Linked DNA regions of Stegostoma tigrinum. The protein of the gene in region 1 purifies or fractionates together with the protein of each later gene. This does not show direct contact. Links are inferred from orthologs where the notes say so. Each region holds a gene or a part of one and is shown on either strand. Other genes may lie near its edges.

The links.
Region 2: the proteins of nmnat2 (region 1) and fbxo45 purify together in Homo sapiens (co-immunoprecipitation; 3 studies listed by BioGRID and IntAct, with this or other methods). This does not show direct contact. The link is inferred for Stegostoma tigrinum from reciprocal best matches to the Homo sapiens genes NMNAT2 and FBXO45.

Annotation. Positions count from the first base shown.
Region 1 is NC_081361.1:45,721,139-45,729,330, forward strand, and holds the start of nmnat2 (nicotinamide/nicotinic acid mononucleotide adenylyltransferase 2), read right to left. Parts: upstream 3,222-8,192; 5' UTR 3,099-3,221; coding exon 3,014-3,098; intron 1-3,013.
Region 2 is NC_081367.1:5,059,058-5,066,800, reverse strand, and holds the start of fbxo45 (F-box/SPRY domain-containing protein 1), read left to right. Parts: upstream 1-4,575; 5' UTR 4,576-4,618; coding exon 4,619-5,194; intron 5,195-7,743. Other genes in the region: d2hgdh (D-2-hydroxyglutarate dehydrogenase, mitochondrial), read left to right, coding at 1-26. UniProt on the Homo sapiens protein: Component of E3 ubiquitin ligase complex consisting of FBXO45, MYCBP2 and SKP1. Functions in substrate recognition but also plays an important role in assembly of the complex.

The DNA.
Region 1 (8,192 bases):
ATTGGGCATTTTTTAGTCACATGAATAATTCAGAATGCAAAGAACCCCATGCCCATTTGTATATAGTTATAAACATGCTACTGCTATTTTTTTCTTTTAGTTCATGCGGTAATATTTTACATCTGACTTTCCATTTTTACTTCATTACATTTGATTCAAACAGTGGAAAGCATGTTTTCCTAAAATAGCACTGCAGCATATATTCTTTGAATTATTCCAGGTGCAAAGCATTATTTTTAAATTATTTATAAACACAAGCCAGCTCAGATCACTTCTGCTCTCTTGTCCATTATAACATCAATTACATCCCCTGAACACTGTTCACTTTTAATTTCCAAAGAATGAAGTATTGGTTTTCTTCTAAACGCTACCTGCTTTAATTGTTTGTTCTAAGCTCTCAAATTATCATCATAAACATTCATGTCATTTTAATTAATTTAATGACTCTCATGTTCCCTTATGAAATATATTAGGTAAAACAAGAAATTAATTTCTCCTTTCAAAGGTGTTTTACTTTTCATTTTTCAACTAAATTCTACAATATAAGTAATCAATTGTATTGCATTCAGACAAAAACATTTTAACCAAGGCTCTGTCATGAAATGTACATTTATTACTATGGAATTACAATAAAGACATTTGTCCTGTGATTACAATGTGTGTGTCAGTCTCAATAATACTTTTCAGCTATAATGCAAGAGTTCCTCAGACCTATTCCTTCTAGTTTTGAACTAACCCAATCCATGGCAGGTTTCATTTGTGTTCTCTTACAAATGCTGTAATCATCTAAACATATACCAATTAGTAACAAAGGCACTTTTATCTTGGCTGATTTGCATCAGCACATTTTCATTGAAAAGGCTTTAACTTTAAGCTACACAGAAATGTTAACATACACAATAGCAAAACAAATAAACCAGCTAAAATGTATTTAAAAAATCTTAAATTTTATGGCTCCAATCTCAGGTCCTTCTATACAGACCTTTAATAATGCTCTATTATCTGTATCCTATCACAGATCATTTCAAAAATTAAACCAAATAAACTGGGTCTGAAATATTTCACACAAGCCTGTCAGGTCTGTAAACAACCTGCCTGGAATGTAATAACAAATCCATTCTGCCTCAGTGCATGTACGCAAAATGCATCAGTACATTATGTACAACACAAACATTAACTGTGCATCTCTCTGCAATCCAGATGGTCTTTCATTACCAGTAATTACCAGTAATACTTTATTTCTGCAGTTTTGCATAGTATCGGGATTGCCTATCTGGTATGTTGCAGACTCGGAAATGCTCTCAAAATTCAAATTATAAGCTCTCATAGAATAATAAGAAAAAAAACTTTGATTCTAAATCTACTAAAAATGTACAAACATCATCATCTTAACTGGAGACATTCACCTATAGGAGGCCCAGATACTTAATTATCTTGTTGACACGTTATTAATTACTGTCCATTGCTTTACTGTGACTGCATGGATAATATCAAGCAGCCATTTTATCATGGTCTCTCCTAAAGGCTGTCTTTTTTGTGCAATGCCTATTAAACACTAAAGGTCATCCTGGATTCGGCTTCTGATCACTGATGCTGCATTGAAAGTGCATTACTAGACATGGAACAACACCGGCAAGTAAGGTATTCGGGGCATGTCTTGCTCGAAGAAGGAGGCAGATACAAACGGTTAGAATACGAGCAGCGGCGATTAATGCCTGTGCATGAATAAGATTTACATATTCCATGCTTGAACAAAAAAGGGAACCAGTTAGTATCGCGGCTCAGCAATATCAGGGTGACTGAGTTTCTCTGTGTGTACAATTAAGCCACCGTGAGGTTGCAGCCTGGCAACTCGGCAGTTCACTGGAAATTTCCACTTCTCCCAAAGTGCCTGTGATTGCCTGTGCTGTCCTCGGCACCCGCCACTCCATCCGTCAAAACTTCCAAATACCTGCCATCAGGCAGCTCCCCTATTCCTACCCTCACACTGACCATCCATCCCCTCACCGCCTTCTCCAGTTTGAGAAACCGCTAAAACAGCTCGTCATCCAACTGCAGCAATCCAGTTGCTTTAAAAACAAACGGCAACAATCTTCCATCCTACCTTTAACACAGCATTAAAAACTAAGAACGCTACAAGTCCTTACTGATTCTGTGCGCGCCGAAACATTCACTATGTTTAATAAAAGAGCGCATCAAAATACTGTGTATGGGCAAAAATAAAACACAATCAAGTTTTTAGGTTGTACACCATCTCCAACTCCCGGGTACCAATAGTTTCAAAAGGACTCCGCGCAACAACTCCCCTATTTATTAGGTGTTTCTTTCTCCTTACATCCATTTCACAGCACTCAGGCCGCTGCGACTCCTTGCCAAATCATCCAATTAGACCCAAAGTGCCGTTGGACCTACGAGGATGGACTTTTCACACAATACATACAACCGATCGACACAAAAAAAGTGGGGCAAAGGAATCCAGCCTTCCTCTGCTTCTAAATAATCCGGTAAATCTACATAAATAAATTGTTGGAGATGGCAAGTGTGGTGGTAAGGGTTATAAAACAAAAACACGGGTATCCTGCAGGAAACAGACACGTGCGCTGGTACTAATGTTCACCGCCAAAACCGAGACTGTCTTCCACCAGGGCGTGAGCAGGGTCAGGGTCATTTGGAAACAAGATAAACAGGAAAAGTTTCAGCATCGTTTGGAAATGTTGTGATGTTGCAGTTAGCTCGCTGGACTGGGCTGGGAGTGCTGCAGGCTTTTCCCGGCTGTGTCTTTCAGCACCACATGCCTTGGACAGCGAACAAAGGGAAAGCAGCTGGCTGAAACCAGGGCAAACTCTTCCCACATTCACTTTCCATCGTCCTCCTCATTTCAAGAGGATTTTGGTCAGACGCAGGTTTCTGTTTTCAGTGAATGGATTAAGCGATTCATTGGGAGCGACGTGCAGAGACATTCTCGTCGTAAGACGAAGCAGCAGCACCGGTTGGCGATGGGTGGGTTACTTACCAAACATCTGAATGTGTCCTTTGGTGATGGGGTTGAAGCTCCCGCAGGCCAGCAGGATAACGTGGGTTTTAGTGGGCTCGGCCATGCTCACTGCCTGCCTGCCTGTCTGTCGGTCTGGCTGGTGTCTGCAGTGTCTGCAGGCGCCGCTCCCACTGTTTGCCAGCTCCGGCTGCCTCACTGCTCACGCTTACTGCGTCACCCATTGATCCGGAGGCAGCGCTTCCCCCTTTTATTTCTTTGCTTGTTGTCCCCGTTCGCCTGCTGAGTTTCACCACCCTCTATTTCTCTCACTTTATAAAGCCCCACTTTATACCCGCGCGGGGGTGTGAATTATAGTGATTATGTTGTGCTGCTAGGATCTGAGGGCTTTTTTCCCCCTCTATAGAAAGGTTCAAAACATAACTGCCTATAGTCCCCCTCTCTATTCCACAACCTTGCACCTCTACCTCCTCGGGATTAGAATTCCGCTTGAGGCGTGACCATTCTGTTTGTCTGAATCCGATTTCCCTTCAGTCTGGCCTGCAGCGGCACAAATCCCAGATTTCACGTTGCTGCTGTTCCAGGTCAAACCGAAAACCGAAAATGAGCAAGATGCAATTTCAGAGTCAACTTTGTCACAACTCTGTTCCATTCATTACCATTTCGACATCTTGGTCATGGTAACCTGTACACGTGCAAATGGATTGGCCGGCAGGTGGATTTTTTCACACCCAGAGGGTGGGGATGTCTGTAACCCACTACCCTGAAACGGGATAATGTCAGAATCCCTCAACATATTTAAACAAGTTGGATAATCACTACTCAACCCACAGTGCCCTGGACCAAGAACTGAAAAGTGGCATAACGATGGATAGCTTTTCTTTGGCTGCCATTGCGATGATGGGCCATAAATGTTCAATTTTCTATGTGTGACAACATTTACTAGAATGGTACCAGGAATCAAGAACCTCTGAAAAACTAGACAAGCCGCTATTAGGATTATTTTGAGTCATTTACGAGAGGAACTTGTTGGCTGGCCTGCTATAATAGTGCTCTTAACAGAACATTCCAGTCAGTTTCACTGCTGGACTTGATCCCCATAGCCCCACAAGTTAATTTTCTTGAAGAATCTATCCAATTTATTTTTGAAAACTCTGAGAGAAATAAAAATCCTCCCCATCTCTGTCTTAAACAAGCAATTTCAAACACTGAGATTATACCCTTTGGTCCTAGACTCTCCCACAGTGGGGAGCAACTTCTCCATGTCTACTCTGTCAAGCTTCCCTTAGAATCATATATTTTTCAAAACATTCTCCTTTCATTCTTCTAAACTCCTTTGAATAGAAGGCCAAACTACTCAACCTCTCCTCATTAGAAAATCCTTCCATATCTGGGATCAACTGCTGGAATACCTTCAATACCAGTATATCTTTTCTTAGAAAAGGAAGCCAAAACTGTAAACAATATTCCAGCTGCGGTCTGACTAGTGCCTTGTAGAGTTTTAGCAAAACCTCCCCATTTCTAAACCCCATGCCCTATGAAATAGAGGCAATGTTTCACTTTCCTTCCCTATTACCTGCTGATCTTGGCTGCTAGCTTCTTGTAATTCATGCACTAGGACTCCCAAATCCCTCTGCACTTCAGCTCTCTGTAATCTTTCCCCACTTAAATAATACTCAAGTTTCCCATTCTTCCTTCCAAAGTGAATAACCTCACAGTTTCCAACCTTATATTGCATCTGCCAATGTTTTGCCCAATCACTTAACCTGTCAATGTCTGTCGACTCCTCGTGACATCTAACCACTTGCCTTCCCACCTATTTTTCCGTCATCTGCAAACTTTGCTATGGTGCATTAACTTCCACGTCCAAGCCATTGATATAAGTTCTAAGTATTTCTGTTCCCAGCACCGATCCCTGTGGTTATTCTCTATTTACAGGCTGCTATCTTGAAAATGTCCCTTTTCTCCTAACTCTGTCTTCTGATAGTTAGCTATACCTCTACCCATGGCAATACACTACCTCAACAACCATGGGCTTTTTTCTTATTAAGTTATCTTGTGTGCAGTACCTTATCAAATATATTTTGGAAATCAAAGTATATTGTATTTCATAGTTCACTTTTATCTACCCTGTTACCTTCTGAAATGACTGTAATAAATTTGTCAAGTATGACTTCCCCTTCATGAGACCATACTGCTTCTTCTTGATTATAATGTGTTTCTAAATTCTCTGCTGTTAATTCCTTTATAATAGATTTTAAGATAACGGGTCTACCAATAACCGCTTTTTCTCTCTCCCATGTTAAATAAGGGCATTACAATGACAGACTTTCAGTCATCTGGGACTTTTCCAGAGTCTCTGGATTTTTGAAAGATTACTATCATGCATCTACCGTCTCTGTAGCTGCATTAGGGATGTTCTGCTTGAAGAGAAGGTTGAGAGGAGATCTGAACAAGGTATTCAAAATCGCGATAGGCACAGAAAAAATAGATTGGGAAAATCTCTTCCCACCTTTGGAAGGATGGAGAATAAGATTGCATCAGATCTAAGATAATTGGCAAAAAAAACTCGACAGACCAAAGGAGAACCTTTCAAACAACATGAGATTAAAATCTGAAATGCACTAATTGAGAGATTAGTGGAACTAGATTCAGTCGAAAAGTTAGAGGAAATTGATTATATGAAATGGATGAATATGCAGGGTTATATGAAAATAGCAAGGGAGTGGCATCTCTCATTCAGAGAGTCAGCACACACACACCACGACGAATGGCCTCCATGCAGTAACAATTTTGTGGTACGGTAATTTCATTTCTATTTCTATTGTTTAGGTCTAAATGGAGGAAATCGTATACGTTATTGTAAACTGGGGAGATTAATTTGAATAAGGTTGAATAAGGTTTCACCTGGACGTTAACAGCTACTAAAATACTAGTCAGTCTAAGGGGGCTTACTGCAATCGTTTTGAGAAAGTCCACGTTTTTATTATATAAAACACTGCAATATATTATTGGCAACAATCAGTTAATTATACTGCACCTAACTAATTGCTTCAACATTTCGCAGGCAAAAAAACCTTAAGACCTCAATCAACTGCGCAAGTGCATGATGAAATTTAACCAATTCCCCACAAGGCAATGCAGCCGGGGAGAGTTTCATATCAATCTTATGTTTGACGTTCAGGATTTTTTAAATGTATAACAAAGAGAGCATTTAAAATAGCATAATTCGTAGTAAACAACTCGTATGTAGTTGTGTTGCTCCTATGATTAGAAAATCAATAATCTACCCAGAAACAATTTACGTTTTAAACAATGAACGTACTAGAATAAATATGCGACAATACCTCTAAAACATGTTTCATTTTAAAGGCATATGGGGCAGTTTAAAGTGCATATTTCCAATCATGTTTAAATAAATTTTTTTCAATCTGGACGGGAGTCTTGTCGGAAACATTGCATATTCTAACATGACAGAGTATCATTTTCTTTCATTCCTTTGCATCATTCTGTAATATTTAAATTTAACCATGCAGCGAGTAAATAAAGAAATTAGACATTTTAGAGGTTGAGAATCCAGGATACATGAGGAAGGAGGTGCTAATAATTAAAGACAAATTACAGTGCAGTGGTTCAGTGGTTAGCACAGCTGCCTCCCAGCCTTCTGCAACAGTGTGTGTGGAGTTTGCACATTCTAGATGTGCAGTCTAGGTGGATTTGCCAGTTAGCTGAGTTGCAGGGAAAGGTAGGGGTGTGGGTCTGTGTGGGATACTGTTTGGAGGGGTGGTGTAGACTTGATGGACCGAAAGGCTTGTTTTCACATTGTAGGGAAGCAGTCATTCTAAAATAATTTATCAAAGAAAATTGATGGGACAATCAAAATCCATTGCCTGCCGTTCCATTTAGGAACTCCAGGAAGTGATGGGTCCTGGAAATGATTCAGGAAATGCCTCCATTTGTTCAACTTTGGCTGCAGAGTTTCCAAACTTGAGGTACAGCTGGTGTGTACTTGCTTCTCCTCCAATAGTAGATTCTCCCATCTTCACTGCTTCTCCAGTCAGATCCCCTGTCTCCCATTCTTCCTGCACCTCCAATCACAGGTTCTCCTGCAGTCGCTGATGTTCTGCACCTCAAGCTAAGCCTCTACTCCAGTTACAGCCGATGTTCTCCCATTTTCTCCAGACGCTTGCATTTTTGCCATTTGAAAACCCCATTCTTGCTTCAGCTCTCAATTATGAATGGTTTCCTCAATAATGTGTGGTACATTTCCAGATTGTTGTACGTCCATGGATATGAGAAGCATAGAGGAAACTTTGCTGGGGCTCTGATACAGTGGAAATAAAAGAAACCTAATGAATTGGTTACATTGGAATTCAGCAAAGATGGGACAGGGCGAAAAAGAGAGTGGTAGCAATGTTGAACAAGTGAATGATTAAAGCACTGGAGGGGGTGTTGTTGAAGCCTAAGACAGGGTCTTTTGGTTAGCACTGAAGAAAATTATAAAAGTGATTGCACTTTCTGAAATATACTATACACCATCAAATGATGGAATGAAGTTAGAGCAGTAAGTTTACAGTCAAGTAACAGAGATGCAAATTATAAAACAGATATGCAGATTTCAATTAGTCCAATTTACATTTCAATACATAATGGTGGCAAAATGAAAGAAGACATTCTGAAGTGTGTCGAAGAGAACTGCCAAGCCAAAGAGGAAGAAATATTCCCATGGATCGAGGGCAAATATAAAGTGGAACAAGTGGACTATGTTTCAGTGAGAGCATATTGTGGGAATTGCGGTTGTAATAGCATCAAATTATGAATAAGTATGGAAATGCATCATGGTTCCAGCAAATTATGTTTAAAAATCTGTTTCAGTAGAGATGAGAAATAATGAAGGCAAGAAGTTATATGAGGGAATGATTTATAGGCACTCTGACAGTAACTACACTGTAGGCCGAGGGTCTCAGGAATAAATACTGGGAGCCTGTGAGAAATATCTGGCAATATCTGCAGTGATTTTAATCTACAAATAAATTTGATGAATCAGATTTGCGAAGGCAGCCTGAAAAATGAGTTTGTGGAGTGTTTTCAGGACAATTTCTTAGAGCAGCATGTTCTAGTGTTACAACCCAGTGTAACCTAGTGGAGAGCACTGAATCAGCTCCCCCCTTTTAAATCCTCTTTGGTTTGTCACAAAACA
Region 2 (7,743 bases), on another chromosome or scaffold:
CATCCTTCACTTGGTCAAGTCACTGATGAGAGCAGAGGTTTTATTGGGAGACCTGACTGCAAGTTTTCAATTTTTACTTCTGCTAACCTGTGCTCATCCTGATGGAGACTATTGTAGCTGAAGAAGAAGAAGATCTTACATTAAAGTTATTATCGAGCATTTGATCATGCCAGATCCAAGTTGCACTTCTGTTAGAAAAAAATTAGAATGTGGATCTATCTAGCACCTTCTGGATGAACTGAAACACTTCTTAGTCAATGAATTTCTTCCAAACTACAAACTATTGTCATACAGAAACATGGCAATGAATTTCTCTCCATCGAGTTCCCACAAATATCAGTGTGATCATGACCGGATAAACTGTTTCAGATTTTGATTCACCATGGGAAAGCTGTCTTGCTGTTCTTCAGAATTTACGTTCACTCCAGAGAATAGATGAGACTTCAGTAACAGTGCATTCCCTCAACACTACACTGGCACCAGGTTGCTCAACTGAGACTTGAACCCATCACGTTGTGATCCAAGGTGAGTGCTGCCCAGTGAGGCAAGGCCAACAATTAGCTATCAAGCCCCACCCCTTTTAAATACAGCAGCCTCTTGGAGGTGACCAGGCACCACCACCACGTTTTGCCAGTGGACCCATGTCTGCTACAACCTGATTGAGTCTGCACAAGGATCACACAGAATTTTCATAGTCAAAAGACTGGACAATTTCATCCCAGGAGTGTAAGTGAGATTCAGAGCAGAGTGCTGAGTCTTTAATCTCCACTGCAGACACCTGGGAAGTACCTGAGGGATGAGCTGACATTCCCTGCCCAGATCGCTGTGAAATTATATTGTGAACATTCGAGAACATTGTTACCAAGCAAGATAGGAGGAAGGAGGATTCAACAGAAATAAAACCTGGTTTTATGTGGCATCTGCTTACAATGTTATGTGTGAATTACCAGAGTAAGCAAAACTGAATAGTGGAAATCTAAAACCGAAGTTCAGACAAGAGTCCCAACTGAAATATTGTAATTCTAGTCTTTCCAAGCTTGTGCTGATTTTTCAGCAGCTTTTGGTATTATGGGTGATCATCACTGCTGTTTGTTCTGTTTAACTCTGTGAATTATTAAGTGATCAATGATATATAAAAGTCAGATAGAGGAGATCCACAGTTTTGAGAAAAATCCTGACAGGGCAGAGATTGCTGGGGGGGTAAGTACAGTGACATTTTTGTCACTGAAGTTGAGCACCCATTTTACAGTCTGTTGCATTTCATTAAAAAAAAGGACTGACAGCTTTTGGGGGTGTGCTACACTGTCCTTATCTCAGGCCTGGCAGGTATGATTAGTCAGTGAGCATTTCCACCCATGTCCTTATCTCTGGACCCCGCAGTTGACTCCTCGACAGGGCCAGGGACACAGCTTTGTAACAGTTCGGGCTTCTTCCCTTGGTTTGTCTCCTGGGACCTCTGTTGGCCTGGACTGTCCTGCACACACACCCCCACCTCCCCAAACACCATATTCGTGGCAGTGCTCCCTGTTCAGCCTTGCCCTTGTTACTGTTAGCCTTCTTCTGATCCCAGCATTCTTGCTTATCAATCAAATGCTGCTTTTTACAGGAAATGGCAAATCAGCCTGGAGGATAAAAATTGCTCAGGCTGTTACTCATATGTGCAGGGTTATCATCAGCTTGCTGCAAGAGTTAAAATCAATGCTTGTACATCAGTTGGTCAGTGTACTGGGTTTGAAAGAGGTTGAGGCAGTGGTGGTGTCTGGGAGAGCAATAACCTCTGCATGTCAGTAGGTCAGATTGTGGAATACCTGCACTTCTCTAGGTTAAATACAAGTCCCTCAAGTGGTCTGTTGTAGGCATGGATGTTAATTTTGCAACAATACACAGATTGATTATATCAATTGACTTTAATCATATTTCATGTTCTGAATGTTTTACTTGTTGTACAATAAAGCATCTTCCCAAAATTAACAATGCAACACCTCACCTTCATTTATCCTCAAAGCAATTGCAAAGGGAAAATTTATTTGACCCCATCCTCAAAATTCTACCTGTCGTAGATGCATTTGTCCATGAATATTGGTCATGACCACTGCACAATCTGAGCAAAGATGAAGTTCTATCTTCAACCTGAGGCTAACACTCCATTGTGTTATATGATACCAGCACCGTGCTGACTAGGATAGATTTCAAACAGATCCAGCAAACTTGAAACTAGTAATTCATAAGGTGCTGTGGGCCATCAGCAGCAACAGAATTATGTCGAAGCACTATCTGTAACCTCAAGGATAAAAGGCCACATTAGGAGGTTGTTATGAACCTATCCAGGAATGCTTGAGTGCAATATTAAAAAAGATCATCCTTTGACGGCACTGAGTTCCATATTCTTAAGTTTAAATGTCCAGTAGACACTTTGAATGCTGCAGTGAAAATCGGAACAGGAGTAGGCCATTCAGTCCATCAAGCCTGCCTTCCCATTTAGTGCAAGCATGGTTGGTTGAACTCTTTGTTTTTCCACACACCCAACCCTATTATCCTTTATACCATTGATAATCAGAAATCAATCTTTACCTGAAAGATACTCAAAGACAAAGCCCAAATATTTGGAGTAGAGAATTCCAAAACTACACCACCCTTAATAAATAAAAGTTGCGCCTATCACTTTCCTATGTGACATTCCCATTATTTTTAAATTGTGCCCCTGGTTCTAGACTCTCCAGCTATGGGAAACGTGTTACTTGTGCCTACCGTGTCAATCCTTTAGGTGTTTTGCAGATTTCAATTAGATCACCTCTCATTCTTCAACTCTACACAATACAGGCTGACTTTGCCCCCATCTGTCTTCGTAGGACAGTCCCACTATCGGAAACAAGTCTTGTGAATCTTTGGTGCACTTCCCCAATGGTGGTAATATTTCAAAATTGATTGAAATTTTGATTTGGGATTGGGGGACACCATGATGGGTCAGATCCGATGGAGTTGGTTGGCAGTGTTGGTCAGGGGTGGAACATGAGTTTGCCTGGTGTCAAAATGGTGAAGGTGGGATAGGATGAGAGACGAGTGGCTAGATGGAGATGGAGTCCGGGGATAGAGAGACGAAAGGAGTAGGCAAACAAGGGGATTATTGATAGTAAGCCAGGACAGAAGAGAAGCTGAATAAAGGATAATAGTAGGAGAGAATGGGTAGGCTGTACTGACAGCAATCCATTGTCAATGACAGGACCAGAGTGTGGGGATGTAGGAAAAGGGGCATGGAAGGACATAATCAGGCTGTAAAGTTATTGAACTCGATGTTGAGTTCTAGAGCTGCAGGGACCCCAGCAAATCGTAAGCTGCAACTTCAGTCACCTGCATGGGTTACCATGACCAGACACACATTCTCCTCCCCTCCTTTGTCAGCATTCTGTAAGAACCCTTAGTCTACACCTTCTCCAGTGCCATCACTCCCACAGCGCCTTCCTATAGAATCTCAGAAGGTGTAAAACCTGCCCATTTACTCCTCTTTCCTCACAATCCAAGGCTCCAGATGTGCCTTGCAGGTGAAGTGGTGATTTGCCCGTGCTTCATTTAATCCAGGCTACTGTATTTGTAGTTAACACTTTCATCTGCTCCACACCAGGGAGATGCAATGCAGACAGCATGACCACTTTGTACTCTGTCCGTAAAAATGACTCCCAAGTTTCCAGTTGCCTGCCACTTCACCACACCATCATGTTACCTGGCTGACATTTTCGTCACAGGTCTGCTGCAGTGCTCCTGTGAGTCTCAGTGCAAGCTCGAAGAACAGCATCTCATCTTTCACTCGAGGTCCCCGTAACCTCTAGACTCAACAGCAATTTAAATAACTTTAAAACTTGATTCAATCCTTCTATGTTTCCTATTCATCGCCACATCATTGTTCTGTCATGACATAGGTTGCTTTCACCACGGCCTACTCATTCTCTTCTACTCATTGTCACTTATTCCGCTTCTCTTCTGTCCTGGCTTACTATCAATAACCCCTAGCCGGCCTACCTCTTTCATATCTCTCTGTGTGGGCTTGTTCGCCATCCATCCTCTCACCACCCCCGCAATCTGTCTTCACCACAAACATCACTTTTTCCTAGTTGGTATTAGTCCTGATGAAGATTCATACCAGACAGGAAAGGAGAAGTCAACGTTTTGAGTATCACTCTTCTTCGGGACCGAAACGTTGACTTTTCCGTTCCTCCAGATGCAGCCTAGCTTGCTGTGTTCTTCCAGCTTCCCGTTTGTCCACCATGGTTTCCAGCATCTGCAGGGGTTTTTTTTGGCCTGGAAACATTAACTCTGTTGCCAGACCTGCTGAAGTTTTCTCCAGCACTTGCATTTTGTTTTGTTAGGGTCGCTTCCGGGTTTGTGATTCTCCTGTTCATTGTTCCGATCGTGGCCGTGTAGAGGGGGGAAGGGTCACGTGGGCCAGCGGGCGGGGTCCCGGCCGCGACGTGTGTGGGGCGGGCACGTTCCCGGTGGTGCGTCATGACATCACAGCCCTGCGTGGTCGCGGGCCTTGCTGCCGCGAGGGGTGGCGCGCACGCAGGACACGTTGGACGTTGTCGGGGCCGCGCGTGCTCCCCCGCCGGCGGGGGGGCGGGGGAAGATGGCGGCCGGGAAGCTGCCGGCCCGGGTGTTGGAGCTGCTCTTCTCCTACCTGGAGCTGCCCGAGCTATTGAGCTGCTCGCTGGTTTGCCGCCACTGGAACCGCTGCCTGGAGGCGGACGAGAACAGCGAGGTTTGGAGGAGCGTGTGCCAGCGGCTGCTGAGCGAGGAGGCGCTGAGCTCGGACATCCTGTGTAACCTGAGCAGCTACAAGGCCAAGGCCCGGGCCCTGCGACACGCCTGGAGCTCGGCCGACTGCTCCCGCAACGTCTACATCAAGCGCAACGGCTTCACCCTGCACCGCAACCCCATCGCCCAGAGCACGGACGGTGCCCGGGCCCACATCGGCTTCAGCGAGGGCCGCCACGCCTGGGAGATCTGGTGGGAGGGACCCCTGGGCACCGTGGCTGTCATCGGTGTGGCCACCCGCCGCGCCCCCCTCCAGTGCCAGGGCTACGTCGCCCTGCTGGGCAGCGACGACCAGAGCTGGGGCTGGAACCTGGTGGACAACAACCTGCTGCACAGCGGCGAGGCGGCCGGCAGCTTCCCGCAGTGTAATAACGCGCCCAAATACCAGGTACTGTTGCTGGGGGAGGGAGGGGGCACCGGGAGGGAAAGGGGTGGGGAGGGAGGGGGCACCGGGAGGGAAAGGGGTAGGGAGGGGAGGGGTAGCAGCAAGGCGGGGGGGGGGGGGAGGAGGTTGCTGGTGGGGAGGAGAGCTAGGGATCGGGGAGTTTGGGATGAGTAGAGGGTCAAGGAACTGGGTAGGGCTGTCAGGAGGAGGTGGGTTTAGCGTTCAGGGAGCTGTGTGAATGGGGAAGGGTTTAGAGAGACAACAATGGGGAGGGATGGGGAACATTAGGGTAATCGGAAGATCTTTGTGTATTATTTTATGGATTCTTAGCTTGCTTCCTGCGTGTCTGTGTAGTGATGCAGCGAGAGGAAACACGTCGCATTTGTTAACAGTAACCCACTATTTTTCAGGAACACAAACAAAAAACACTTTTTTTTCTCAAGTAGAGACGTTCTTTCCAAACTCTTTCAATGGAATATGCAGCATTAACAATGTCAAAGATGAACATTTATCAACCCCATTTGCAATGTGTGTATATTGTCTCTAGTCATATGCACTTGCATTCTCATTCTGATTTTTCAGGTTGAAGTGCCATTTTTACTCACCCTTTGTGTTTCTAATGCCTTTTGAGCATCTAACTCAGGATCTTTGCATGTTGTCATTCATGAGCTCCCAACATTAAGAAAAAATGTAGGCCAGCAAACCTGTGCATCATTTGGGCTCTCCATCTCTAAGAGAATTGTTAGGCAAGGTTATCATTGCTTTCAGAATTCATCAAGACATATTACGTTTTGTTTTAAGCAGCAGATCATGACATCATAAATCCTGGCCTCGGTGACGATGAATGGAATCCCCTGTCAGTCAGGCTGGGAGGTTATGATGTTAAATGTATCTGGGATGCATTTTACTCAGATAATTTGCATTATGTAACTCTCCGTCAGTCACTACATGATTCTAGGGAAGAAAATCTTCCTGCTGTGTTCAGGAGATTCTGTTTGTAATTTTATTCTTGTTTGACACATCTTGTGGACTAAAACTACAAGACCCATCAAGCTTCGAACTGACACACTAAGACCATTTTCACTATTTTTTTTAATGTCTTGAGAGGAAAGAGAAAAACGTTGGAGTTAAAATCAGAATCTGAATTGCACACAGCCCAGCCTTCCTGGAGGCAGCTTGCAATTGACATAACAGCATTTGACATTGATTCAATTACATGAGGTCAGTTACTGACCGAATAGATGAAACCCACCATTAGAATTAGAGACTTTTAGCTCAGTGACTGAAATGTTGATATTATTGCACATTCCATTAATGTACTTAACTGTGTACAGGGAGATGTGGGGGGTGACTGCTTATAAATAGGCTCTCTGTGTCTCTAGATTGGGAGTTACGTAATGCAAATTATTTGTGTAAAATTCATCCCAGTTACTTCCAGCAACACAATCTCCCGGCCTGACTGAAAGAGGATTCAATTTATTGTCGTTGTTCACAGAATATACTACAAGCATATGCTATTCCACTGAGTCCAACTAATTTGTTCTGCATTTATCTCCGCTTGAGCCTTTTCCCTACCACTTTAAATCCTCTAATCCCAGAGCTATCTGGCTCTTAGGTTTTCTGCTTAATGCAAAAGATTGACACCCTGTATTTATCTCAAGTGGTGGGTGAGAGGAATATGGTGTCTATACATGAGTTGGAGCAAGAAAATGAAGTTTTTAAGAATTAAAATGGGCAGTTGCAGTTTTAATTCTGTCATGACAAATAAGGCGTTAAAGATCTTCATTCATAGAAATTGTTTGTAAGCCTAACTTAGCATAAATGTTCAATTTTTCTTCCTTTTCTTATACCTGAAATCTGAGGTGAGGTGAAAATTCTTCAATTCTGATAAACTCATGGATGCTTCCAGCACGGAAGGAGGCCATTCAGCTGATTGTGCCTGCAGCAGTCAACAGTGGTCTAACTACGTTCTTGGCTCATTGCCCCGAAGGCTATGGCACCATAAGTCAATATCTAAATACTGCTTAAGTGCTAACGAGAGTTTCTGACTGAGCCTCACTTTTAGGCAGTGAGTTTCTTCAACTTGTATATGAATATCTGATGATATTGTTCATCAATATGCTGTGCAGTTTATTTAGTTTAAGGTATTTCTAGCTGCTTTGTTCTTTTAAAATGTATTATATCCTGTTCGCATGAGTGAGTCTACCTGAGTTTCAAAAGAGAAAAATCAGACTGGTGCTATATGGAGACTTTAAACTAAGTAGTTGACGCGGGTTCTTAGGAGAATACTATTTCTTAGGAGTATACCAAATGTTACCAGATTTATGAGACAATAATAAAAATTGCTGGTAAAGCTCAGCAGGTCTGGCAGCATCTGTGGAGAGAATTCAGAGTTAATCTTTTGGGCCGATTGACTCCATTCTGAGGAAGGGTCACTGGACCCAAAACGTTAACTCTGTTTTTTTCTTCACGGATGCTGCCAGACCTGCTGAGCTTTTCCAGCAATTTTGTTTTTGCTCCTGATTTACAGCATCTGCAGTTCTTTCAGTTTT